Linked DNA regions of Xenopus tropicalis. The protein of the gene in region 1 interacts with the protein of each later gene in a biochemical or structural test. Links are inferred from orthologs where the notes say so. Each region holds a gene or a part of one and is shown in the gene's direction. Other genes may lie near its edges.

What was found.
Region 2: the proteins of snta1 (region 1) and htr2c interact in a test that uses a peptide from one of them, tested with the Homo sapiens proteins (2 studies listed by BioGRID and IntAct). The link is inferred for Xenopus tropicalis from reciprocal best matches to the Homo sapiens genes SNTA1 and HTR2C.
Region 3: the proteins of snta1 (region 1) and dmd.3 form a complex in vitro, tested with the Homo sapiens proteins (2 studies listed by BioGRID, with this or other methods). The link is inferred for Xenopus tropicalis from reciprocal best matches to the Homo sapiens genes SNTA1 and DMD.
Region 4: the proteins of snta1 (region 1) and slc6a3 interact in a test that uses a peptide from one of them, tested with the Homo sapiens proteins (2 studies listed by BioGRID and IntAct). The link is inferred for Xenopus tropicalis from reciprocal best matches to the Homo sapiens genes SNTA1 and SLC6A3.
Region 5: the proteins of snta1 (region 1) and kcnj4 interact in a test that uses a peptide from one of them, tested with the Homo sapiens proteins (2 studies listed by BioGRID and IntAct). The link is inferred for Xenopus tropicalis from reciprocal best matches to the Homo sapiens genes SNTA1 and KCNJ4.
Region 6: the proteins of snta1 (region 1) and kcna4 interact in a test that uses a peptide from one of them, tested with the Homo sapiens proteins (2 studies listed by BioGRID and IntAct). The link is inferred for Xenopus tropicalis from reciprocal best matches to the Homo sapiens genes SNTA1 and KCNA4.
Region 7: of the proteins of snta1 (region 1) and mapk12, one has a biochemical effect on the other in vitro, tested with the Homo sapiens proteins (2 studies listed by BioGRID and IntAct, with this or other methods). The link is inferred for Xenopus tropicalis from reciprocal best matches to the Homo sapiens genes SNTA1 and MAPK12.

The regions. Positions count from the first base shown.
Region 1 is NC_030686.2:41,872,652-41,876,151, forward strand, and holds part of snta1 (alpha-1-syntrophin), read left to right. Parts: intron 1-2,033; coding exon 2,034-2,219; intron 2,220-3,500. UniProt on the Homo sapiens protein: Adapter protein that binds to and probably organizes the subcellular localization of a variety of membrane proteins. May link various receptors to the actin cytoskeleton and the extracellular matrix via the dystrophin glycoprotein complex.
Region 2 is NC_030684.2:66,128,631-66,132,820, forward strand, and holds the start of htr2c (5-hydroxytryptamine receptor 2A), read left to right. Parts: upstream 1-1,390; 5' UTR 1,391-1,567; intron 1,568-4,190. UniProt on the Homo sapiens protein: G-protein coupled receptor for 5-hydroxytryptamine (serotonin).
Region 3 is NC_030678.2:107,315,154-107,319,334, forward strand, and holds the start of dmd.3 (dystrophin), read left to right. Parts: upstream 1-1,381; 5' UTR 1,382-1,507; coding exon 1,508-1,589; intron 1,590-4,181. UniProt on the Homo sapiens protein: Anchors the extracellular matrix to the cytoskeleton via F-actin. Ligand for dystroglycan.
Region 4 is NC_030682.2:78,452,512-78,456,715, forward strand, and holds the start of slc6a3 (sodium-dependent dopamine transporter), read left to right. Parts: upstream 1-1,404; 5' UTR 1,405-1,660; intron 1,661-4,204. UniProt on the Homo sapiens protein: Mediates sodium- and chloride-dependent transport of dopamine. Also mediates sodium- and chloride-dependent transport of norepinephrine (also known as noradrenaline). Regulator of light-dependent retinal hyaloid vessel regression, downstream of OPN5 signaling.
Region 5 is NC_030680.2:122,426,484-122,430,695, reverse strand, and holds the end of kcnj4 (inward rectifier potassium channel 4), read left to right. Parts: intron 1-826; exon of another isoform or gene 827-956; intron 957-2,053; coding exon 2,054-3,362; 3' UTR 3,363-3,712; downstream 3,713-4,212. UniProt on the Homo sapiens protein: Inward rectifier potassium channels are characterized by a greater tendency to allow potassium to flow into the cell rather than out of it.
Region 6 is NC_030680.2:19,914,104-19,917,603, forward strand, and holds part of kcna4 (potassium voltage-gated channel subfamily A member 4), read left to right. Parts: 5' UTR 1-528; coding exon 529-2,595; 3' UTR 2,596-3,500. UniProt on the Homo sapiens protein: Voltage-gated potassium channel that mediates transmembrane potassium transport in excitable membranes. Forms tetrameric potassium-selective channels through which potassium ions pass in accordance with their electrochemical gradient.
Region 7 is NC_030679.2:71,612,563-71,616,699, forward strand, and holds the start of mapk12 (mitogen-activated protein kinase 12), read left to right. Parts: upstream 1-1,337; 5' UTR 1,338-1,704; coding exon 1,705-1,829; intron 1,830-2,363; exon of another isoform or gene 2,364-2,474; intron 2,475-4,137. UniProt on the Homo sapiens protein: Serine/threonine kinase which acts as an essential component of the MAP kinase signal transduction pathway.

The DNA.
Region 1 (3,500 bases):
ATCTCCCTCTCTCTTATTGGCTGAGGAATGTCCCATGCTGTTATATTGGTTTGTTTGGGAGGGGGGACACTGCCGGGACTGCCTTTCCTCCCTGCCCCCCAACACCTACTCTCCCTGCAGCACAAAGGAGCGTGGGAAATTTAAGGGACATGATATAGTGTATATTCATGTACCAGAATATTATAGGAATCTTGCATTTTGGAACTTCTTAAGACTTTTAAAGGGGAAGTTAAGCTTGAAATTAATTTTGTTCTGGTTTTATTGCATTGGCATTATAGGCAAAGTCTGAACGCTGAATGTTTTTGTTGGAAAAATGGAGGGTCCGGACTCCGTTTGTGGCGGGCTGCTCACTCAGCCTTACTCTGTCACATAACTGCTAATCCTAAAATAGCAGCGGCTTGCATGTCAGATTTAGCTGAAGCCTGTTGCTGTCTTTCTAAAGGGTCAGCCGCTTGTAGGAAATGATCAAGGACTCACAGTATCCTGGGGCAGAGAGTTGCAGGAAAAATGTATTGGCCTGTGAATGGTGAATGAAAACCTGCCCAACCAATATCTGCCTGCAGATCAGCTGGTTAAAAAATCAGGTGATGACTGCATTGGCATATTGATACCGTTCTCTCCCAGCAGGTCCCCTGAGGCGCTATTTAGGGTCACATTGTTGGGATGGTGGCCAAATCAGGCACAGATCTACTGGTTTGCATAGCAAGCTTTAGGTCCAAACTTTTCTAACGGCAGTGACATGTTTATGGGCTCAGTCCCCCCTAGGCCCAAAGTGTACTAATAGCAGTGCCATGTTTATGGGCTCAGCCCCCCCTAGGCCCAAAGTGTACTAATGGCAGTGCCATGTTTATGGGCTCAGTCCCCCCTAGGCCCAAAGTGTACTAATTGCAGTGTCATGTTTATGGGCTCAGTCCCCCCTAGGCCCAAAGTGTACTAATGGCAGTGCCATGTTTATGGGCTCAGTCCCCCCTAGGCCCAAAGTGTACTAATGGCAGTGCCATGTTTATGGGCTCAGTCCCCCCTAGGCCCAAAGTGTACTAATGGCAGTGCCATGTTTATGGGCTCAGTCCCCCCTAGGCCCAAAGTGTACTAATGGCAGTGCCATGTTTATGGGCTCAGTCCCCCCTAGGCCCAAAGTGTACTAATGGCAGTGACATGTTTATGGGCTCAGTCCCCCCTAGGCCCAAAGTGTACTAATGGCAGTGCCATGTTTATGGGCTCGGTCCCCCCTAGGCCCAAAGTGTACTAATGGCAGTGCCATGTTTATGGGCTCAGTCCCCCCTAGGCCCAAAGTGTACTAATGGCAGTGCCATGTTTATGGGCTCAGTCCCCCCTAGGCCCAAAGTGTACTAATGGCAGTGCCATGTTTATGGGCTCAGTCCCCCCTAGGCCCAAAGTGTACTAATGGCAGTGCCATGTTTATGGGCTCAGTCCCCCCTAGGCCCAAAGTGTACTAATGGCAGTGCCATGTTTATGGGCTCAGTTCCTGTATAGATATTCCCCTGTACTAAGCACAATTCAGCATTAAAACAAATAAGGGTACAGTAGCCCTTTAAGACCATTTACGCTTTAGGCTAGAGTATTACAGAGAAAATAAATTCTTTGGCAAAGGTTGAACTGGGCTGCTATTTCCCTGGAGTTTGTGGAGTCATCTGAAAATGTCTGTTTCTTACATTTTAGAAATGCAGAATTAGAAACAGATGAAAGTGTGACTGGAAAAGGAATATTATTTTTTGCAGATGCTTCTATACATGTAAATGAAAACTCAATCAGAACTTCAGTATGTAACATTAGCCAACATGCAACTGGCATAAAGTACAGGCTGCTTTGTGCCCCATTGCATTGCACTCTCCATAGAGTATGGCCCAAGGAGTAGCCATTGCCTGTATACACGCCTTACGTGTATTGGGGTGCAACGTGTCACTGCCATACCATTTATCTAGGATTGGATGATTTTTTTCCTCTAGTTTAAGTTATGTATTGAAGGAACAGTTCCATACCAATAGATTAATCGACATCTTTTTGTTTACAAGGTGGCCGGGAGAACAAGATGCCCATCCTCATCTCCAAGATTTTCAAAGGCCTGGCTGCTGACTTGACAGGGTCATTATATGTGGGGGATGCAATCCTGTCTGTTAATGGGGTAGACCTGTCAGAGGCTACTCATGATGATGCTGTGCAGGCTCTGAAGAAGACTGGAAAGGAGGTGGTGCTGGAAGGTGAGTAATAAAGGGAGGTTTATATGGAGCAATATGAGGAGTTATAGGGAGGGGTATATGGAGCAATAGGAGGAGTTATAGGGAGGGGTATATGGAGCAATAGGAGGAGTTATAGGGAGGTTTATATGGAGCAATATGAGGAGGTATAGGGAGGGGTATATGGAGCAATAGGAGGAGTTATAGGGAGGGGTATATGGAGCAATAGGAGGAGTTATAGGGAGGGGTATATGGAGCAATAGGAGGAGTTATAGGGAGGGTTATATAGAGCAATATGAGGAGGTATAGGGAGGGGTATATGGAGCAATAGGAGGAGTTATAGGGAGGGGTATATGGAGCAATAAGAGGAGTTATAGGGAGGGGTATATGGAGCAATAGGAGGAGTTATAGGGAGGGGTATATGGAGCAGTAGAAGGAATTATAGGGAGGGGTATATGGAGCAATAGGAGGAGTTATAGGGAGGGGTATATTGAGCAATAGGAGGAGTTATAGGGAGGGGTATATGGAGCAATAGGAGGAGTTATAGGGAGGGGTATATGGAGCAATAGGAGGAGTTATAGGGAGGGGTATATGGAGTAATAGGAGGAGTTATAGGTACAGACTGGGCTTCCAGTCGAATCTATATGAAGTGGGTATAATTAGCACTGTGAGACAGAGTTATAAGAACGGCTGTGCCAGTTACAGAATAACATTTGGGTTAGTTACTAGTTATTGGGTGCCAGTGTATAGATAAACATACTGCTTCAGTTTAACTCTTCCCCATTTCTTCTGTTGAACAAGAATTTTTTCCTGCTTTTCATGGTTCCCGCACAGCTGTTGAGGGGACTGTGCACATTCCAGGGAATCTGGGAGGGGAACGTGGGAGGCATCACTGCAAGGGGAGCAGAGACACGGAGTGAAAGTGCTTATTTTGTACTTACACCGGCCAATTTCCAATCTGACACTGTGGGATCCATTTACTAATAACCGATGTAAACCCATTATGAGTTTTGGTTGAAGGTTAAGCCACATCTAGAGAGGAAATAATAAATCAGGGGTGTTGGAGGGTCCTGTACCTGTTGGAAAATAACAGCTGGGTGGTCACAGGCTAGACAACAGGTGTAGGGCTACAAGCTAAACCCCCTTTTATGTATCTAGTACAATAATAAAACATTATTGCTTTAGAGTTTAAACATTTTATGAATACCTGCTCAATCCTACTTTAATGTTATAGACCTGAAATGCAGAAAGAAATGACCAAACCTGCTCAGCATTAATGGCTGCTCACTTGGGCAAAAATCTAAC
Region 2 (4,190 bases), on another chromosome or scaffold:
TTGTGTGAACAATTTTTTCTTTGCATTGAAGTAGTAAAATGATACGCTGTTGATGCATACTGTATATTTCATATTACTTTCTACTTTATAGAACTGGTGGTTTTTACCTGCAACAAAGTGTCCATGGGATTCTGTTTTATATAAATAAAATTTAAAGGCATATATTCAAATTTTACACTTAAAATGCAGAATCTACAGAAAAAGATTTCTTCCAAGTGAACCCCAGCACACACACATAGACCCATTCTGACCTATCTATACACTCACAAGCATAACCTATATATACCAACATTAATACTAACTGTAGATATTAGTATCACAATAGCCTTGGATATTATGCTTGTTTAAGAACTCATCCAGGCCCCTCTAAAAGGCATTAACAGAATCTGCCATCACAACATCACTAGGAAGGGCATTCCACAACCTCACTGACCTCACCGTGGTGGTTACCTTTCAAATGAAAGTTCTATTCCTCTAATCTAAAGGGGTGGCCTCTAGTGATGAGCGAATCTGTCCTGTTTTGCTTCACTGGAAAATTATATTTTTTGACACAGGCAACAATTTTTTGACACGGGCAACATTTTTGCCACCCATTTCACAAAATAATTCACCAAAATCGAAACAAGGAAATTCACCACAGATCCATGCCTGGCAAATTATTTCGCTCATCACTAGTGGTCTCTGCTGCAATGATCCTTTTTATGGGAAAAAAAAACTTTTCCTAACTGTCTATAATCCCTGTACTTGTACAGAGTAAATCATGTCCCCTCGCAAGTGCCTTTTTATCCAGAGAAAACAACCCCAACCGTGACAGTCTAACCTCATAGTTTAAATCTTCCATCCCCTTAACCAGTTTAGTTGCACGTCTCTGCACTCTCTCCAGCTCATTAATATCCTTCTTAAGGACTGGAGCCCAAAACTGCACTGCATACTCAAGGTGAGGCCTTACCAGGGACCTATAAAGAGGCAAAATTATGTTTTCATCCCTTGAGTCAATGCCCTTTTTGACTCAATTTATATTATTTCAACCAAAGTACATAACTTTGCACTTTTCAGCATTGAACCTCATGTTCCATTTTGCTGCCCAGTTTTCCAATTTTGCCAAATTACAATGCAAAGTGGCAGCAACCAATATGTACATGTAGATTGCTGCTTTATACAGAAAAAAAACCCAAACCATTTATATAGAAAATGCATGTATTTAACTGATGCTTGCTCTGCTGGAAAAACTCTATTAACTGATGCATTTTGAAAAGAGTATTTCGTTAAACACTAGCCTTGTCTTTTGTTAGCCTTCACCCAAGTTCAACACAGTGTTAGCAGCAATAAGTTCTTTATAAAAATGTTATTTCTTTATTTTTCACTCTTTGTTTTCCATGTTTTAATATCTAGGATCCAAGATTCAAACCAAATCCATATAGAGGAATAACATGAACATTCATGTTTTAAAGGATGTCAGAAGGATTGCTGTTCATCAACATGTTCCTTAATGGAATATACAGAAAGCATGCAATGCTGGTGGCCCTAAGAGACAACTGCCCAAAAACATCAGTGGTTATTCAGCAAGGTACTTCTTTTTGAAGGAAAATCAAAAGTTTAGTCATCTGTGTTTAACCATACTGCTAAGCAAAATTGCTATTTTAGATTTGAATTACCTTTACCTACTTTTAGAAAGCTTGTTTAAATTATGCATTAGAATCTACCAAATTTCTTTAATGAAACAGTGTACAGTGTATAACCTTTAGCAGCACGGACAATTATGCTAAAATATGAAGGAAGTGAAGACTTTTTAACCACGTAAGAAGACAATACTAAGGCATTTTACATTGGGTAGCTGATGTGGGATATGCACCCAGGAAGTAAGTGATTCTGTATGACCGCTGGCTTCTATCTGTAATAGGTAAACCATGAACTACATATTAGCTGATGCAGGATCTATGAATGCAGGTTGGTCTGTTATCTACAACAGATACTTTAGTGTTGTACTGTATATATGTATGTATGTATATCTTTATTTATAAAGTGCTATTTATGTACACAGCACTGTACAGTTGAATAGATTAGCACAAAGTATAACAATAAATACAAGGTACAGTTGCAATAAGTTAAGAATCAAAGATACAAGAGGATAGAGGTCCCTGTCCCATAGGGCTTACAATCTAAATGTGTTGCTGTGATATGTAATGCAGCCATATGTTCTTTAATGATGTTCTGATGTCACAGGAAAATAGAGCAGCCAAAATATCTCACTATAAACTTCAAAATATAACTAGCAGTATACCCAGAGATAGGTTTTAAATAGCAGAAGATCAAGTTCACTGAGATTTCAATATGTTCAGATGTTAAAAATGTCATTTCTAATTTTAGTGTTGATTGGCCAGGAGTATACATTGTTTCATGTCATTATTGTCATGTTATTATTTATTCACTGTAGTTGTTTAATGTCACATAATATAGTATATATTCTACTTTCTTTTCTGCACGGTGTCTCCAATCCTATGTAGTATTTTGTTTGCTGCTTATTTATTTTTTGTACACAGCAGAGAACTCTAAACCTCTCTCCCAGTTGATGCTTTCTGTCTAGAAACAAAGTACTAAATTGAATTGAAACAAGAAAATAAAGAAGAGGAGAAGCGAGACCAGTCAGAATGTTTTGGGTGGTAGGATTAATAAGGTTAGGAGCAAGATAAGGCTATAAGAAAAGACCAGGCTGGTGCATATTTAAAGGTTTAATCACATGATTCAAAAGTGAGCAGGCTGAAGTATATGGAATAAACGGACGTATAGCGATGAAGTCTAAGTTAAAAAATTCCATGGATGCCTTGTCAAGCCTGTAATATCTAACCAGTATTCCTGGTGTAATCACCGCCAGTTATCATGGAAAATGTATAATGGAAAGTTTCTTGCTTAAAGAATCTCCATAGATTCCTTACAGTATCTTGTCCACTGAAAGAGAAAACTCCTTATGTTCCCCACTTTGTGCAAGAATTCCCAGGATTTTTTTTGAAAAGCCTTGCAAAATGTGTTCTGCCCCCCTTCTCCCATGTTGAAGTAAATATTGTAAGGGGATATGATGACTGTTGCAACTTACGTGACAGTAAGTGACAGTGGGAGCACAAGCACCACAGTCAATAAGCAGGAACAACCTTGTGACATTTGTGCTTTGATGAATTAATAATTCTGCAAAAATAATATTTATAGAGAACTCTATGCAGGGCTGGAAATGAGGGTAGGCAGGGTAGACACACAGGGGCACATTTACTAATCCACGGACGTCCGAAAGCTTCCAAATGCGTTTTTTTCATGATGATCTGTATTTTTGCAATTTTTTTTCGTCGCCGTAGCAATGTTTTTGTATTTTGCGCGACTTTTTCATCCCCGTTACGACTTTATTGTATATTTTCTGCGACCTTTTCGTCGCCGTCGTGAAAAATTCGGATTGGTTTTTCCGCCATTTACTATAGTGAAATATGAAAAAATTGTGGCGGCGACGAAAAAGTCGCGCGAAATACGATAAAGTCGCGACGGCGACAAAAAAGTCACGCAAAATACGAAACAATCGCAACGGCGACGAAAAAATCACAAAATTTTTGTTTCCAATCCGATTTTTTCTCATTCGGGATTCGGATTCGAGGATTAGTAAATGTGCCCCACAGAGTAGGGAAATACTAAGGGGGGACGTAATTTGAAAAAAAATTTGACTGGTACCTTTAACTCCTACTGCCAGCAGGTGAGTGAGGGAGTGGATGTGGAGTCACTGGATAAGCAAGTAAAGAGGGAAACTGTTGTAATGGGTGGTATGGGAGTCAGCAGTCAGGGTCAAAAGATACTTGCCAGGTGCCAGTACCTCTTTTCCCATCTGTGATTCTAGTTATCGACCTCTAGCCTGTTACTCACTATCCTGACTGCTGTCTCTCCTGGCCTGTGCTCCAGCTTTACATTATGATTCTGCCACACCATTGGGATCTGGCTTTGTCTGTTCCTTAGTACCAGCTTCAGTATTGTCCCATCTTTTTGGTTCTGGTTGCCTCACAGCCTGGATACCTGGTCAATTGTGTTCAGTGTAACTAGGGGAAATGAAATAGATCTTATTTTGCTACAATGATTCTATTTAGCCAGTTACCTGGCATGGATCATATAATATATAAACATATTTGTTACGCATTAATATTGTTAAAGCGCTAAATAAT
Region 3 (4,181 bases), on another chromosome or scaffold:
TAATTACAAAGGTTATATAGTATCATTCCACAGGATCAAATGGCATCAGGCCTAGAATGCTTTCCATTGAGTCCTTTAGATTTATAATGACATCAGCTTCCTGTGAATTCTTTTTCATTCTTTTCATTCCTTTTCGTCAGTCTCTGGAACATGACAACTTCTGCAGAGTGCTGCATTATGTTATATCTCCTGCATATTTAGGAGAAGAAGGAGAGGTAAATAGTAGTTATACAAGCTGGAAAAAAGGAGTTACTCTGCATTGTTATCCTTGTATATATTCACCATATCTAGCAAAAGCCTAGAGCTTTAACATACTGTACCCACGGTGCTGTCTGCCACTAAAATGGGTGTCATGGGAGACTATTGTCTGTCAGATACAGTATATTCAATTATGACTAAACCAAGTTAAAAAAAAAAACTAGACCACTACTAATGAGAAAATTCATGAAACGGATTTCTTGCTGCAACCTTTTTCACAGCTATTTTTTCCATGCAGAAAACATTGGAGTCTAGTGGCGTTTTTCCGCAGTGACTTTTCTGTGTAGAAAAGGTGACTTTTTCACAGCAAAAAAATGTTTGCTGCAAATATTTGCGGTACTTTTGCAAAGTATTATCTAAAGGCAAAATGAGGAAATTCGTCTGCAAAAAATTGCTTATTGCTAGTGACCAGTGCTGCGCTGTATTTGGACTTTTTTCATCAATACAATTAATGAAGGCAATTTCCCTACTGAACCTTTCTTCTGTCTCCAGTACAATGGGCTGCTAAAAATAAAACAGCACACACATCTAAGCTTTTTGATCTTTAAAAAAGTTTCCAACTGAACATTTGAAGGTGACGGTCTGCCCCTACTTATGTAAGCAAGGAACAACCCTTACTAATTACTGAGCAGCACTTGATCTGTTTTTTTGTTTTTCTTTTCTGCATCTAGAAAATGATTGCACATTATTAGACATAACTGCAAAACAAACTGCATTGGCTAAAGAGATTGACATTTTTGGCATCCTTTCCACCCTTGTGGAATACAGTATATATTGAACACAGACTCATGATATTTCAGCTGCAAGCAACTAAGTGAGATATAACTAAATTATGTTTTCCCTCTGAGTATAGTTTGGTAATTTGGTATTTTATGGGTCTTTGTATTGATTGTGCAAAGCTACGGAAACAGTTTCAAGAATCAACAAGTTGATGCTGATTTATAGTGTGTCAGGTTTAATATTCACTACTCCACATTCATGTTCTTGTAGTTTATACGGGGCTAGTTCTATTTTAAGGAAGAACAGAGATCAGCACCTGTTTTCTCTGATCTGTGGGGTTGACAGTTTATTCTCCTGTTCCAATGCAGACACTATTTGCAGTTTTAAAAGGCTGTCTGCTTTAGTGGGAATAACACGTTACCTAACTCTCTAGAGTAACTTGCTTTGCTGAGAGAGAAGTAAGACTACCAAAAACTTTGGGTGTTTATTCTGCAGCTTTGAGGCCCGTCAGTGAGAGCTTCTGTACATTATGGCTGAAAGTGGATATCAAGAGGAGCCCAGAGGAGATTCTGCTGCGGATGAGTTCACTGATATGATCAAGAACAGATCCGGTAATGTCAATATTAGTTTCTTTACTTCAGTGTGGGAACTTAAAAATAATAAATCTGGCTTTATTGTGATATGAACTGTGTAAGATATTTAGCAGCAAAGCTTCCAGTTACAAGTGTCTGCTGTAGTGCAATACTACTTAAGTCATTCTGACATTTCGCTTACTAATGCAGCAACATTTGCAGTAATCATTTAAAGATCTTTTAAAGCCTTTTGGGTTTTATGTGCAGCCCAGAAATCACAGTATTTGTGATTGAAAAATATTTACAATAAAAGTAATAATAAGAAAAATAAACTGCTGATAAAAAAATGTGTTTTATCGGCAGAAAAAATACACGCTGGCTGTATATATAACTATAAAAGGGACTTCCCATGCCTTTGTGTAGTATCCAATTTTCTGACAGCTCTTTATGCCATTTGTGTAATGGGGCAGGTCATTACAGCTGTAAATGGAAGCGACTGCATTGCTTTCCCATAAGATACTGTTTCAGCTGCCATGCCTCACTCAGCTTCATTATGGAAGTAGATCAGCATAGTAATTTATAAACCATTCAATGTTTAGTTTATTTACAAGTTCACTAAGCATGCTATATAAGGCTGAAAAATGTACTATAGCACTTTCATGGCTATCTTAAATTTACTGCTCATACATAGTGAATGCATTCAGATGAACTGTAATAGGGGGAGAAAAATTAACAGCTGTGGGGAAGAGTAAATCTCTTACAAGTACACCGCTCTCATTTTACTCTTGTGAACTTGTGACTTGAATAAAGTTCATGCAATGCATAGCATGGTAAGTGCTAGAAATACGTCCCAAATCTCGTAGGATCACATATACGGTACAGATATACTAAATACATTATAAGCACGCTTCACCAGCCTATTTGACACTCACATGTGTTCAGATGTTTATTCAACAGTGGCTTTCACACTTAGTTGACATAAATCCCAGGGAGTGTGAGGTATTTTAAAACAGAGATTTATAGGTGGAAAGTGCACATGTTCACTGAAAGGCTGTACATATATATGGAGGAGTATAAAAATATAATTCAAATAAAAACTATTTCAGATTGAAAACTGTATCCAGAATGAACAACAACAAAAATTGGCTTAGACACAGGATGTACTGACAATTAATTGGGGGAATGCAAACATATTGGCCAGCATTCAGCCTTTCATAGCCACACCCTGTTTATCAGATCTTGAACAGGGAAACCTACAAGGTTAATGTTAGCAGTGGAACTGAGGAATAGGAAAAGTATGCAGCTACGTGTGCATGATTGAACTATAGCACATAGCAAACATTTGGCCTTAGATTTCTGTTCTAGTAAACTTAAAGGGGTTGTAAATGCAACTATAACTTTTTGCACAAATTAAATCAAATTGAATTTTAAGAAACTTTCCACAATCCTGACACATTTTTAATTATGTCAAGCATATTTACTATTCAATGCTGTATTTTGCTGTTTTTTTGCTATTCTCTGCATGTCCGATTCTTGCTACATGTATCATTGAAACAATGTTACAGTAGTCAGCACCTTCATCTGTGAAACCAATTCCTACAATGTCTTGCACACTCTGTGATTAACGGACCCACAAAGATAGAGATTCACAAAGCATTGTAGGAACTAGCCCTGATGCCCAACATAAGCATTGAGAGTCAGTCACTTACTGTACATGATGTGCCTGGGTAATCAAAATCCTTCAGTAGGCTGGAGTGGAGTACTGTTTACATTAGTAACCCAGGCTTTTGAAGGACTTCACCACACCCAGCCCAGTTCAGGATCTAATGTAGGCATTCATGGAAGGAAATATATAAGCAATGTTTTACATTTTGATTTATGGTGATACGTTGCACATTTCTAGCTTGCACAGTTACTATGTTATGTACTATTAAAAAGCCAAAACTGCAATTTAACTTTAGAATTGTAGTTTGCATTATGTAGGTTTAATATCTTTTATTTTCAGTCAAAAGTTTTACTTCTGTCATTTATGCATCCTTTCATACTATAAATACAGTGTGGCTATGTAACACTGTGCAAGTACTGGATTTTTGTAAATCCACACATGGATTGTTTTTGATTTTTTGGCAGGACTACCTAAGTTACCTGCACCCCTAAAACATGTGACATTCAATTAGAAAATGAAGTGTCTGAACATAGCTTTGTGGCCTAAGAAGCACATTTCTCATCTCATTTCCAGTGGGTAACTTTAGAAGGTGAACTAGGGAATATTTCATTTTAAAATTATTTGCATCCTGAAACCTACCAGATCTCAGGTGGCTAAAATTTTTAGATATATTAGCATTTAAATGTAAATTTTAAAATGTACATTTAAAATGGAAATGTAATTTCACCTTATAGACCATTGCTCGGATGGGTTAGCAATCTGGACTCCCACCTGGGCAGGATTTGGGATATGACCAGGACAGTAATTGTAATATTAACCTTAAAAAAGAAAGTTGAAATCCTTATGGTGCATTTGTTGGCAGGAAAAGGTCCAGCATTGTAAAAAGGTCATGAAAAGGAAATACCCAAATGTGTCATGCCCTTGTTCCATGGGATTTATCTGGTATATAGCGTAGCATTGTACTT
Region 4 (4,204 bases), on another chromosome or scaffold:
TTATATATATGGGTGCACAACATTAACAACAACAAAACCTGGGTGCTAGTACCAAAAAAAATGCACTCAAACTCGTACAGCACTCCTAGGACCTACAGAATTGTGAACAAAATGTAAATGCAAAAATAGAAAGGTTATTACTCAAGTAATTTTGCATTTTGTTCATAATTCTTTGAATCCTAGGAGTGCTGTTTAACATCTTGATAAAGGTCCTAGACCTGGACCGAAACGTTGATGTTTTTAATGCAACAATAAATGAATTATAAAGGATGAGGAGTGCGCATTGTCAGTTGGAATGAATATGAGCTACAACCATGTGCAGCACCCTTGAATTGGATATGGAGTAAAGTGAGTAATGGGAGTGTGCGGACCTAGTGATACTATATATATATATATATATATATATATATATATATATATATATATATATAGAGCGAGAGAGAGAGAGAGAGAGAGTACCGCACAAAAAAAATGCACTTGAACTCGTACTTTATGAATTATAAAGGATGAGGAGTGCGCATTGTCAATTGGAATGTATATATATATATATATATAGATATGCACAGTCTCTCTCACTTGATTGTGAAGAGGGAAAATAAAACCAAAAAGAAAAAAAATATAAGAAGTTCTGCAGAATGGTGAGCATTCAACAGAAGGTATGCACCAAAAGATCTCTCACATTATCAGGTGCTCGGCTGCTCTGGCTCCACACCAGTGTATGCTGATAAAAAGTTATTGCAACTCTGCAACAGTTGGATATTATAAGTCACCAAGACGTTCCATGACCATATAAATGCATCACACTGAAAGCCAAGTGCATATACGGGTCACAAAACCTCAAAGTGACTTATAACTTCTTATTTTAGAACAGGGGATATAACATTTTATATAATACACAAATTTCAGGTGACAGAAATTAAATCACTAAGAACAAATTATAACTGATGACATTACTCTTTATATGGATAGAATATTCAGGATATTATACTGTATATTGTCACTTATCTGGGTAATTTTAAACACTGGTCATACCCCAGTAATGGGCACTGGTAATTTAGCTGCAGTCCAGTGAATAAAAAAGGACCCATGGATACATGCCCTAAATGCATACCTTTAACTGCTAGCTTACTTTACAAATGTATATTGCTAAAGACTGTACATCCTCTGACATATTACATCTTTTACCCTTAATTGAGACACCACTACATGTTTACTATTTACCAATAAAAAAACCCTTTTTAATTATTTTTTGCTGAAAATTGTGATCCTAAGTCTTGTTGGGGGGGTGGGCAAAAGATTCTGCATCTAAAGTGTGAAATGGCTAGTTAATATCTAGAGGAGCAGGGGGGTTTTGGAAAGGAGAAGGGAGGGATCATGACACCCTGAAGCTGTACCTGCCCCTGCTACAAGTTCTGCCTCAGCAGCTGAAGGATCCTCACTCTGAACAGATGACTGTGCCTCTCCCTGAGCAGAGAGACAGAAAGGAAGATCTCTGAGAGATTCAAACCTTTAATATTCCCACATTCACCTTCTGTTGCAAGGCCAGCCCTAGCGGTGCCAGGCATGCATGGCTAGTGTCTGCAGCTTCCCCGACTGAAATCACTGCCACTGCAGCTTTATCTAACCAAAAGCACTCTTCATGGGCATTCTCTGAATCCAGGTAAGTCCTATTTCCCTAGCAGATACTATAGTTCTCTTGTCGCTATTTTTATTTCATTTCCCTGCAATGTGTAAAATATTCATTTTCAAAACAAATATTCCACAGGGACTGTCTCTTTTCATTTTGACTTTATGGCATTATATTTAAATAATTAATCTAACATATTTTTACAATGAAATATGTAAAATGATATTACTTAGCTAGCAGACACTACAGTAGTTTAAACATAAAGTGACCCGACTTTCTTAAATTATTGCACGTACACATTATTGCACATGCCATCTAGCTAAAGGTGCTGAATATATACATATTAAATAATTCCTTTCCACAAAGATCTGTGAGTTAAGTATAATTGCCTTTTCGGGACACTTTGCTAAATGGAACATCTCACAGGATGAAATAATAATTCTGGTAAAAAAAAACCTGTGTTATCTTGCGCCTCTGTAGAAACCTGCAGAAATGTATTGGCCAGGAATATAACTTTGTTATATTGCGCCAGACTGTGTATAATTACCTTATAAGCAAATCCATTGCTAAGGAAAAACTATCATTTTGTTTTAGGATTTATCAGTAGGTTTTGTATGTTTTTTCCACCACTGACAATAACTAAGCATCTTTTTTTTTCTTCAGCATTTTTAACCTGCTTGTATATCAGATGCAAACCATACAGGGACCTTGTAAAAGTTATTAGAGATAATTAAAGGCATGTATTTATTTCCAGAAATGGTGGCAACAGTGTAAAAAATAGCAGGATAGGTAATACTGTACTTATCTAGAGATTGTAGAAGAACTGTAGCAAAATAAAGCACTTTAAGTGATAAATACAATAAATGATAAAAAGATGAAAAGACATACAGAGAGACAGATAGATAGATAGATAGATAGATAGATAGATGTACTTGTAACAGAAGTTTGTGTATTAAGATAGCATGGGGTACATCATACAATCTGGTTTTTTTTTATTTTGGGAATCATGTTTTACTGAATTGCACATACAAACCCAAAGCTGTAATCCTCTCTGCACCGCACCCTGCTGTACATTCACACAACCCAGAGACGCTAATGGCAGCCCTTCACTTTTTCATTGATTTATAAAATGTCAAGCTGGCAATTTACTTATTCTTTTCACTTGTGTAACATCAAAACATGTATTTTCCATTTGTGGTCAAGAGATGGATAATCGATTCTGAGCTTTTAAGATTATTATTTATTATATATTATTATTCAGGGAAACAATTTGTAGAATCAAGGAACAGTGTTAACACCAGCAAATTTCCAGTTCCCATAAAATTGTAAAACATAATTTACTTTACACCCCACCCTTTTACTAGGATTATATACCTATTTAAATAAACCAAGTACAGTTCAGACATTTAAGGGTGACTGTGATTTTCTGAACAGTATTTAAAATTCCTGTTTGGGCTTTAGAATAATGGAGCAGTACCACATAGGACTACCCTAAATACATCACAACATTCTTATATTTAACAACACATATTAACCCTACATACTATCACAACACCCCCTAATTATTTACACTGAAAGCAGCACCCAATTTACCTTAAATGCCAACACCATATCCTCATATTAACCCCTTACAGCACCCAATTTATGGTAAAGTATACATTAGTTAAATATTTAAAACGTTTTTTAAAAATGTATTTTACTGGTGGTTTAGACTCTTTATTGTGCAGCAGAAGCCAGCTGATTAACAGACCTGTGAAAAAGCATGGTGGGAATTGAAGTCTTGTCTGGAGGAGAGCTAGCTTCTGCTGATGAACTTAGAACTAGCAGTGCAAATGAACATTGCTTTGAATAACAATTACATTGAAAAATAACTTTAAAACCACTGAACATTTTAATGTGTATTGGAGAGCTTACTTTTTCTTTCATTTTTCTGAAAATGTTAAGTTATAGTTTTTATTTAATGTATTTTCTTTCAAAAAAAACAACAAAACCAAACAAAAGGTCCCATTGGTCCTATATATATATTATCAACTCAATTAATGTTTACTCTACATAACAGCAACCTTTTCACCAGCACCATATTTAGCCTAAATAATAACACAATCTTCCTAATTAACAGCACTAAATTCCCTTAAATGCAGCAATCACTATAAAAAAAGCATTATAAAGTATGCTCATTTTCAATACCAGCGCCATAAAAATTCAGGTTAAATATCAGTACAATACCATAAACAGCAAACATTGTATTAAGCCTACATTATGGCACCATATCCCTTTCTTATTATTTACCCATGTAACAACTCGTTTGCTTACAAAATAAGCTTACATAAAAGTATCCTATTTTCTTTACTTAACAGAATATTTCACTCAACATAACAGCACTCTAATCAGTATAAATGTAAATATTTTCTCTGTTCTAAATAACAAAATGGCATTCCTCTTTTGTTTTTCCTATACACCACAATCTTTACCCTTAGCAGCATTATAATCACCCTAATTATTCATTTTTATATTCTTTATATTCGCTGTTTATGAAAATCTATCCTGTTATATATTTTTATTACCACACTTTTTTCT
Region 5 (4,212 bases), on another chromosome or scaffold:
CTTGGTATGAAACCTCAGAGAGCGAAAATAGGATGCTGTGTTACATAAGATGAGAGAAGTGTAGAGAAGCTGTTAGGGTCCCCCAGCACTGATTTCTTTGCATGTTCTGAATACCCCACTCCACCCAGATGTTAGGTGAAATATGATAAGAGTGTTAATAACATCTCAAAAAGGGGACATTTTAGAGAAAATGCTATGGAATTTATAGGGTTCCAGGGTGATTATGGAAAGAACTGATAGCAAAACAGTCTTGCGGGGAGCCACTTTTACTATAAATAGGGCTACATAAACTGTAACATTCCTGCTATGAAACTACCTTATTGGAAAACAAAACGTGACAGAATATTATCTGGCGCACACAAGTCAGAATCTCATTGTTCCATTCATTTTCAATAAGCTGGAAAAATAAATAAATGAATAAAAAATGTTAGAGAATATCCCCATTGACTTCTATACAAGCTTGTCAGTTTTATTTGCCGAGTTCTCTTCTGGCAACTTTTTGCAGTTACTTCTTTAATAAATCCCGATCATTGGAGGTTTCAGAAAATGAAATGTCAGCTTTTCTTCTCTGTGTTTTTCTTGAATCGAAAAAAAACCAAACTTTTTTTTTGCTAAATTAGCCCCCTAGTGTTCCCAGCTACCTGCAAAGCAGCCTACATGCAATAGACTCACATGTAGATATATACATATATTATAAAAAGTACTCCTTATAGAGCATGAAGTATACTGTATTGCATTATAATTAGAAACTGACATAAACACTGCAGGCAGAACTCATTCATAACCCAGAGTATGGCGTATAGTATATCTGTCCCACTGCACTCACCAGTTGCACGTCAACCCAATCTCAGAAGAAAATCCTCCTGCACTTTGTTTGGTCCTGCTTGTATGGTGGCATCTATGTTTACGCAGCCAGAATAAGATTATGGATAGACAAGGCAATGTAAAATACAGATCTGGAAGAAAAACATGGCAGGTACTTTGAAAATGCAGATTGTATGTGGATTGTATCTCCACCTTAATTGTGAGAATATACTAAATTGTGCCCACTGCAACTTTTCCACCAATATGTATGTATATTATCATCTGTTTTGGTAAACTGGTGTTATGCAGCAGATCATTTTTCCTGCATTTGTGTTCAAATGGTTCCACTTCTGGTATATGGCATAAATAACAGCATTAGCATCTAATTCACTTGGAGCAAATCGATTGCAACTGTTGACCACGGCGGTATTTAGGTGTTTCCCTAGGCACTATCTCCCCCCCCTCACTGACTGGTGCATGCACAGGACAGATCATGCAGCCGTTTTTAGCTGCAGCAGGCTGTGTGTGTAGAATGTTTTTTTTTAAAGTGTAGTTCATATATATATATATATATATATATATATAATTTATATTATACATGTATGCATTGTACTTATATTTATATATAGCTGTCTATATATTTAGATCTCTAGACATATATAGAAATACAACCCTACTATTGATGCAACCCAATAAGGGAACTCTGTAGTTACTAGCGAGTCCAGGATGACAGTAATTCTAGGTTTCCCATGTGTCAATGAAGGCACTTGCATGTAATTCATCAGTGCAGACTGAAGGAGTTTAAATTGCAAATGAACATGTTTAAAAACAAGTACCTTTCTGAATAAGGTAAATGGGTTTTCAATTAGGTGACTGTTTTAGAGCTCATAAACATCATGTCTCAAACGTCTATTAGTTCAGAGAGATTTGAGGAACCAACCTCCACTTTTAGGTTTATTTTTTTTCCTCCCATCTTTCCTTACCCTTTGGTATTGGCTGTGTAGCTCTTCTTCCTTTTATACATAGAAGGATGCAGTTTTAAAACAGAAGATGCTTTATAGTGGAGGATGCCACAGTATACATATTAGATTTACTGTTTTAGTAAGTGTGCCAAGGTGTGAAACCCAACAGTGTTTTACTATTTATAGCATGTCTTACTGGTATTTAGGATCAAATTGTGATATGATAAATCATATGTGCCAAGCCAAAGGTTTGCAACTATCTAATTACTTTTCTTTCTCTCTTGAAGTAGGTACAGCATTGTGTCCACTGATGAAGAAGGCCTTCGCATGCCATCTTTGGGGGCCAATGGTAACTGGACCTCTTCTCTCCACCATCCCCATTCACGGCGAAAACGGCGCAACCGATTTGTAAAAAAGAATGGTCAGTGTAATGTCTACTTTGCTAACCTTAGCAACAAGTCCCAGCGTTACATGGCAGATATCTTCACCACATGTGTAGATACCCGTTGGCGTTACATGCTGCTCATCTTTTCTGCCACCTTCTTGGCCTCCTGGCTATTTTTTGCCTTTCTTTTCTGGTGCATTGCTTTTCTGCATGGGGATCTGGGCACTAGCAGTGGAGTGATAGCCGGGGGTAGGCAAGGACCACCAAAACCATGTCTGATGCATGTCAACAGTTTTGTGGAGGCATTTCTCTTTTCTGTAGAAACACAGACTACTATAGGCTATGGATTTCGCTGTGTAACAGATGAATGCCCATTAGCCATTCTTGCTGTGGTGGCTCAGTCAATACTTGGCTGCCTGATTGACTCTTTCATGATTGGAACAATTATGGCTAAAATGGCTCGACCCAAAAAAAGGGCACAAACATTGCTATTCAGTCACCATGCTGTCATTGCACTAAGAGACGGTAAGCTGTGCTTAATGTGGAGGGTAGGTAACCTTCGTAAAAGCCACATTGTGGAAGCTCATGTGCGGGCACAACTGATTCGACCCTATGTTACCCAAGAAGGTGAATATCTTCCCGTGGATCAACGAGACCTAAATGTAGGATATGACAGTGGCTTAGACCGCATCTTTTTAGTCTCTCCTATTATTATTGTTCATGAGATTGATGAGGAAAGCCCACTCTATACAATGGGTAAAGAGCAGCTAGAGGGAGAAGACTTTGAGATTGTTGTCATTTTGGAAGGTATGGTGGAAGCCACAGCTATGACCACTCAAGCCCGCAGCTCCTATCTAGCTAGTGAGATACGCTGGGGACATCGATTTGAGCCTGTAGTATTTGAGGAGAAAAATCACTACAAAGTGGATTATTCCCATTTCCATAAGACATACCAAGTTCCAGGTACTCCTGTTTGCAGTGCCCGTGAACTACATGAAAGTCGCATTACTGTATTACCCTCTCCGAGCGCCTTCTGCTATGAGAATGAACTAGCACTTTTGAGCCAAGAAGAAGATGAAGATGAGGAAGCAGCTGGTGGCATGCCAGATGAAGGAGTTTTACATGTCATGGGAAGTCACATGGAGCTAGACCGTCTCCAAGCATCAATGGCATTAGATAATATTTCCTATAGGAGGGAGTCAGCCATATGATGCCAGAGATCATTTATGAAAGCTTCCTTACCAGTGTTGGCATGGCTTTCTTATGTCTATGCCATGCAGAGTGTTTTAATAAATTTGTCTGTCTGCAGACTACAACCCTATGAAGCCCTACAAATGTCTGTTCTGAACATATTCCACAAAGTTTGTTCGGTCTTTACAAACAGAAGGTAAATGTGCTGTTTGCAAAAGCCGAGACAATAATGTTCCTGGTGGTCAAATAGTAAGACAACGTGAGAAAGGTCACATATTGAGGACCTGCGGGCTGTTAAACATTGTATTGAAATATTTTGTACAAGTATGAACTATAAATAAATCTTGACTATGTGCTCTTCCAAATTCCACATTTTATACCATTCAGTTTCTTACTAAACATAATTCTGTGCTTAGCTTAGCAGACAAAACTCACATTGTTCTGCCTTTACAAAAACATCTGAAGAAACAGCAACCTGAAGAAAAAATAATTGTAACAAACATGAAGCTATTTATTTGCTGTTAAACCACATCTCCCATCATCCTGTGCATAAGAGGCAGGAAGTAATTGACCATCCAAAGTCTCAGGCCAACGTAATTGTTTCTTTAAAAATAATTTTCTCTTTGCCTGACACTAGAAAAAGGTATAATCATACTTTCTTCCCATATTATTGATGAATAAATAGAATGTACAAAAAATAAATATTTTATAGCTAATTATGGGGAGAATGACAGTTCATCTATGTCAGTAATTAGCAGTATGTCTGTGGTACACCAGGTTTCTTACCTGCATGTAAAATCCATATGGTTTGCTTGAGCAAAAACACCCACTGGAGTAGATGCTGGGAGGGGTCCCATCTTCAGACCCAAG
Region 6 (3,500 bases), on another chromosome or scaffold:
TCAAACACATATTTTTAACCTTTATTTCTATGGTTTTTGGGCAGCAACCCCCCCTGCAAACTTGTTGTTGCTTCTAGAACAATTACCTGGAGAGCTATCTGGCTGAACTCTGACATAACCTGCCTATCTACTCACTGGCTCCTATTTCCTACAGCACAATATTGCTTTAAAGCAGCTCAACCACACATTTTTAACCTTTATTTCTATGGTTTATGGGCAGCGGCCCCCCCTACAAACTGGCACATTTACTCTCTGCCCGCACCCCCCTTCTCTGGCCAGTTGGTTCCGCCCGCACAGAGCTCCCTGCGCTGACTCCTTACTCGCAGAGGGGGGGGGAATTACCCCTGAGACCATGAGGGTGTTTGCATTCTTATTTTTTTATGACCTTGCATGAGTAATAATGAACTAAAAATCACTGAATTTATTTTGAATAAGTTTATTGCCTTGGGGGAGCCACCATGGCAGGGTGGTACAGAGCACTCAGCAGTCTCCCCGCCGCACAGTAAGCCGTGAGCAGCAACAGCAGAGATGGAGGTTGCCATGGTGAGTGCGGATAGCTCCGGCTGTAGCAGCCACTTGCCTTACGGCTATGCCCAAGCGCGGGCCCGCGAACGGGAACGCCTGGCGCACTCCCGAGCCGCAGCCGCCGCCGCCGCAGCTGGAGAAGGAGGGAACTCAGGGGGCGGCGCTTGTCAAGGGGCTGGGCGCGCCCCCGCCACTCAGGGGAACAGCGGGGCTGGCGGGAACGCGCGGCGCGCACCCCAGAGCCAAGAGCAGCAGGAGGAGAAGTCAGCGCAGAGAAAGAGAAGTGCCAGGCGGAGGTACTGGCCACTAAGCGGCTGCAACAGGTGGAGGAGCCGGCACAGCGAATGCAGCGGAGGCGCTGGAGGAGGAAGAGCAGGAGGAGAAGAGGAAGGCACCTTCCCCTCGGAGCTGGGGCCATGTGGCTCTGAGGAGATGATGCTCAAAGAAGAGGTGTCAGAGGAGGAGGACCAAAAGTTTTACTTATGTGAGGATGATGAGGATGAGGCTGGCAGCCTGCACAGGAGGAGAAGCCCCAAGGAGGATGGCTATCACCCTGTGTACAGTGAGTTTGAGTGCTGCGAGAGGGTGGTGATCAATGTGTCCGGGCTGCGCTTCGAGACCCAGTTAAAAACTTTGACCCAGTTCCCCGAGACGCTGCTCGGCGACCCGGAGAAAAGGATGCGCTACTTCGACCCGCTGAGGAACGAGTACTTTTTCGACCGAAACCGTCCCAGTTTCGACGCCATCCTGTACTACTACCAATCCGGGGGACGGCTGAAGCGGCCGGTCAACGTGCCCTTCGACATCTTTTCAGAGGAGGTCAAGTTTTACGAATTGGGCGAGGAGGCGTTGCTAAAATACCGCGAGGATGAAGGTTTCGTTAAAGAGGAAGAAAAGCAGCTGCCGGAAAATGAGTTCAAGAAACAAGTGTGGCTGCTGTTTGAGTACCCGGAGAGCTCGGGTCCAGCCCGGGGCATCGCCATCGTTTCCGTGCTGGTCATTCTTATCTCCATTGTTATCTTTTGTTTGGAGACGTTACCCGAGTTCAGGGACGATAAGGATAGTTTGCTGTCTCCGCTGGGGATGGGGGATGATGGTACAGGGGAGGATGGAGAGGGCGGGGCATACAATGCAACTTTTTTATTGACAGACCACACTGCGTTTAATGACCCATTTTTTATAGTGGAGACTGTGTGCATAGTCTGGTTCTCCTTCGAGTTTGCTGTGCGCCTTTTTGCCTGCCCAAGCAAGCCTGGATTTTTTAAAGACATAATGAACATAATAGACATTGTGTCCATTCTGCCTTACTTTATCACCCTGGGTACCGAGCTTGGGCAGCAGCATCCCCCTCAACAGCAGCACCTTGCTCTAGGCACAGGGCAACAACTTCCCCAGGGGACTGGGCAGCAACAACAGGCCATGTCCTTTGCCATTCTGAGGATCATTCGCCTGGTTAGGGTCTTCCGCATCTTCAAACTGTCCAGGCATTCCAAGGGGCTGCAGATACTTGGTCACACCTTGAGAGCCAGCATGAGGGAACTGGGATTACTCATCTTCTTTCTTTTCATTGGGGTCATTCTGTTCTCAAGTGCTGTTTACTTTGCAGAGGCCGATGAACCCACAACCCACTTTCACAGTATCCCTGATGCCTTCTGGTGGGCTGTTGTTACAATGACCACAGTGGGTTATGGGGATATGAAACCCATTACTGTGGGGGGTAAGATAGTAGGCTCCCTGTGTGCCATAGCAGGGGTATTGACTATTGCACTACCAGTGCCAGTGATAGTTTCAAACTTTAACTATTTCTACCACAGGGAAACTGACAATGAAGAACAAACACAGTTGACACAAAGCAGCTCCAGTTGCCCATACTTACCCACCAACCTGCTGAAAAAGTTGAGGAGCTCCACTTCTTCCTCTCTACAGGACAAGTCTGAATACTTAGAAATGGAGGAAGGGCTCAAAGAGTCTCTCTGTATAAAAGACAAGGCTAGTGAGGGGACAGGGAATGGCAACGAGACCATTAAGTATAACTGTGTGAATTTAAAAATTCTGGAAACTGATGTGTGAAATAGTGAAATATATTTTTGGAACTTTCTCAGAGTCTATTTATGCATTGAAGAGTGCAGTGATAAAACAAATGAAATATGCAAATCTAATCAGAAATGTGACAGCCAGTTTTCTGATTAGGTGTGAAATATAGTGGCTTCCTGTTGTAAGAACCTACAAACTTGGGACCAGATCAGATGCTACAAGAATAGCAGTGCCTGTTCTCTGGCTTCGTTTTTTTTTTTTTTCTAAAGAGAGTTGTCCATCCATAGATAATAATATTGCAGTGTGACAGTCTGCAGTAGAGAGGGGTACATGATGCTTATTTAATATAAAGCAGAAACCATGAAAAGAGAACAGCATGCATTTTGCCGTACACGACTGCTGTGTCTTCAGAAATACCTGGCACCCAGTAAAATGACATTGTTTACTCGTTTGCTTATTTTTTACAAAAATGTCTATTCTTCAAAGAATTCCACATCAAAAGAATTTTAGAAAACAGCGGTTTGCTGTAGATTCCTATCTTGATACCGCAACGCGATTTGTGCTTTTCCTAATAGCTAAGGAGCTAAATTCTTATGTGTGGAATACTCTGTAATCGGATATACATCATGTCTAACATATCAAGCATAGAAAGGGTAGACTAAAGAATTTTAAAATGATAGATTTTTATAGAAAGCAATGTTTCTGCACTGATATATCTAAACTCATTAGAGTGCTCCGATAACTAGTCTTTTTTAAGAAATAAGTTCTCAGTTTATTTTCTTTTTCTAAATTCCTCAGTATGAGATTAGCACAAATATAGGAGATATCGAGCGAGAAAAACAATCCTAAAAATGTTATTCTCGTTCCACTTAAGCTACACTTAATTATGCTGACTTTACTGTGCAGTTTTAAAAATGAACCAGCTGCCCCGTACCTCCATT
Region 7 (4,137 bases), on another chromosome or scaffold:
GATGCTCCATCTCATAGCAGTCACTGAAGAAGAACAGTATATAGGAAGATTCTTATTCATTCATAGGAGTTGTCAGTTCTAAACTTTACAGAACACATTTGAACCCAGCTTGATAAACACACAACTTCTTGAATAAATAAAAACATATTTTTTGACAACTGTTTGATTGAATTATAAGGCATGTTAAAGGCATAAAAATGCAGCATGTTGTGTTTAAGGAAATACATTGTAACGCAGCTGTGCTAAAATGCAGATCCTGATGCAGGCGGGTACAATCAGGCAAAATAAAGCTGAATCAAATCGCACATGAGTTTAGGCGTGCTTAATCTTGCATCTCAAACACTATATAAATAGTGTAAGTTGCATGCAGGACCTGTCTGTTCAGGGTGCTGCACATGAATATAATGTATAAACTACACTACAGCATCCAAGAATATCATGCTCCCTTGGGGCTGGGCCTGGTCCCTAATGGGAAATGATAGGTCATTAAAACCTATAGTTTCTTCTGCAGCTGTCAGGCTTAGAGTTTTGACTGTTATTTGGTTGCTATGGTTTAATTACCCTGCTGACCAGGAAGTATTAATCCAACCCCTTCACCAATATTCCTTGACCCTTGCATGTGGCGTTACTAAATATCTCATTTAATCTGCATTTTTGGTTATTCTATGGGAAAATATATTATTTGTGTCCCCTTAGGCCCCTGCTGCCAGCATTATGGTCACAACCCTTTTAGCTACTAAGCTACACCCTTACTTAATATTACAATGGGACCTTTTATAGCTTGTAATTGTGTCAAAAGAGTCTGTTGCATTTATAGGAGCATAACAATAGGCTGAGTTGGCTCTTTTGCCCCAAGATTATTTGGAGCTCAGCAGGGGCCTTTAATAATGGCAATTTAAATTTACAGGTACAAAAGCCTGTTCTAGATTTGGTACACTGGGACTACAGCCACATTGAGATATTACAACTGTGTAATCTAATTTCACAGACGAACAAATAATAATTACAAATAAGCATTAGTAATAATGTAAACCGAGTCTGATAAAAACCCATTGGGGAAGAATGAATTTGTTAGGTTGAACTGCCTAGTAGTAGCAGTGGGTTATTGAATAATAATTGAATAATGGCACTTCATGCCAAGAGAGGTCATAAAGCTTCACATTGAAAAATAATGCAAAGATCGTCTTCTTGTAGCGAAGGGTCATAACACGTATGAACGTGTGAGCGAATTCCCGGCCACATAACTTCCCAAATCACTTTAGGACTGTGTCGGACTAGAGCAGTGAGTGGGTTAAGTACTAATCTGCGCACTGGAGAAGGGAGGGGAGAAGGACTGGCCGGGTCACGTGACGGCACAAAGCTCCGGGCTCTATATGGGAAATACTTCCCGTCACTGGGCAGCTACTGTGCAGGCTGAGGGTGCGGGAAATACGCACAGTGGACAAAAGGAAAACGAAAGTGGAAGGCGAGAGCTGACCGAAGAGCGAAGACGCAGAAAGAGGGGCTGGTCGGAAGAGACTGTTCTACGTAAAGAAGGCAGCCGGTCCCTCATGGTGAATAAGAGCAGGACAAGTCAGTACTGCTCACCGTGACATTACTGTACCTCTCAGGAGAGCCGCCCAGTATCAGCAGTCAGGTGACTCTGCCTGGGACCCACATTCACATAGTACTAGTGCAACAGGAGCCTGCTGGCAACTAGTAGCCATGTCCACCTCCCCGTTGCCCAAGAAGGGATACTATAGGCAGGACGTCAATAAGACCGTCTGGGAGGTGAAGGAGAGGTACAGAGACCTGGTGGCTGTGGGATCAGGAGCCTATGGCACTGTTTGGTAAGTTGCAATGCTCCAAATATTCATGAAAGTTATCATTCATTGGACCAACACCTGTGGGTTTGTGTAATCTGTGCCAGGAATCACAGGAGCGGAGCCATATGTGTGCCAGCCCCTGCAGACTGCATTGGAGTCCTATATCATTGTAGTACTGTGAGTTAGGGTTTTGTATAATGCAGTGTATTCGATTTCAACTGGCACAAACAAATGATATTGCCATAGTACTCTACATAAGTTTCTATACCTGCCAGCTATATTGCCTTCAGCTTGCAAAAATGCTTGCTGGACCTAAAATGCTGTATTATGTCTCTATTGGCAAATGGAACAAACACAAGAACAAACACAAATTGCCAAGCTCAAAAATAGCTTGTGTACAAGCTGGGTATTCTATACATGCACAGCATTGCTAAAAAATAGGTCACATTTCTATAGAGCATTTCAGTACAAGTAAATTATATTTTTTGGCACTAATTGTCTAGTGGCAGTGTAGATTGCTCCATAGGGAAATTGTTCCCTGTTTTTCTGTCTTTTCAGACATGATTTCAATAATGCTGCTGGCTCTGGTACAAACCCCCGTGTGTATAGACCCATAGCTATACCCCATGATTATGGCACCCATGTGACATTTGTGCAGTGAACATGCAGGTAAAGACATCCCTTTTACAATTCTGGGGTTTTATTTGCATGTCTGTCATGTCTTAAATGTTCACCTCACTACCCCTTGACCAACTACCAAAGGGTTATGAGCCACCAGATGGTTGTATTGTGTTGCACTTGGCATAGCTTTGTGTTCCATTTTTGCTATATAACATTTCCTTGCTGCATAGAGAATTCTAGGCATATTACCTTGTTTATATGATTCCTGCATGATTCCTATATCACTAAGGTAAATATCCACAAACTTTACATGTTTTATGCGGGTTTAGTACTGTAAAATGGTGCAGATGAAATATGCCTCTATACCATTTACAATCTAAGCCCTGTCGCACTGAATTATGTGAGAGTATCATCATAGAGCATTTTGTAGTTTAATCAAATGTTTGAAATGAGTAATTGTCTATAAAACCGTGGGGATTAGCAATAAATAGTATGTTCCCTGGGTATTTTATCTTTATAATTTAGTACATAAACATTAATTTAAAGCTAAAATGTAGTTCTCTTTGTTCAGTTACTAATGCCCTTACTGCAGATGTAGAGAGTTGTAACATTTTACAGCCACCGCAATGCTACCAAGGATAAGGTACTGTATTGTTCACAATTTCCCTTTGCTTAAGTCTGTTGAAAAACTGATTTTCTGCTTTTACAGAATTAATTATTTCACATATTTAGAACAAGCCAAACTGTTGTTGCAACCGAGCAGGGTCAGGTCCAGGTAACATTCAAATGTCCCCTGGCTGACAGAATTGGGCAGCTAGAACCATATTTAGCATTCTATAAAAAAGCAACACAAAGGGACTGTTTATTTACTTCTGAAAACACTTTAAAAAGCAGTGTAAAATAACTGACACATTTATAAAGGCTTTAATTTTATTTTACACTGCCTGTTCATAATTAACACCACCATTATTTTTATGGAATTTCCCATTTAGGTCAATGGGAAACTTCTGGCAGAGCTAGAGTGTAAAGGAAAAAGCAGCAATGGATGATGGCTATTTATTACACGGCACTTTCAAGTGGCTTATTACTAAATATCTATGCATATTTTCTAGCTCTGGACAGACCAACTGGAGGCCCACTGTCTCCAAGTGATTTTTATGACCCACTCTAGCCTGCTCAAGGTCTGCATAGATCAGTCTGTGAGACATTATTACTTCAAAATAACTGGCAGACATTGCCCCTATTAAACTGTATCTTTTAATGTGTAATGTCTTTAAAGGATTTTTATTTTTAGGTTATTTCCACAGATTTTGTTGACTGGATCCTGTACCTAGTTAAACAGGCTGCACTTATTGGGAAATGGCTAACCAAGTTTGGGTGTTTTTCAGCAAGGCTAACAGACCCCCTGCCGTATACCCTCCTCAAATCATATAATAATCAAAATTAGAGGGGATTATAGGCAGTTGGGGGATGTTCTTTTTTCCCATAAAAACAATCAACGCACCAGAGGTCACCCCTTTAGATTAGAGGAATGGAGCTTCCATTTGAAGCAGCGTAGGTGGTTTTTCACGTTGAGGGCAGTGAGGCTGTGGAATGCCCTTCCTAGTGATGTGGTAATGGCAGACTCTGTTAATGCCTTTAAGAGGTGCCTGGATGAGTTTTTGAACAAGCAGAATATCCAAGGCTATTGTGATACTAATATCTACAGTTA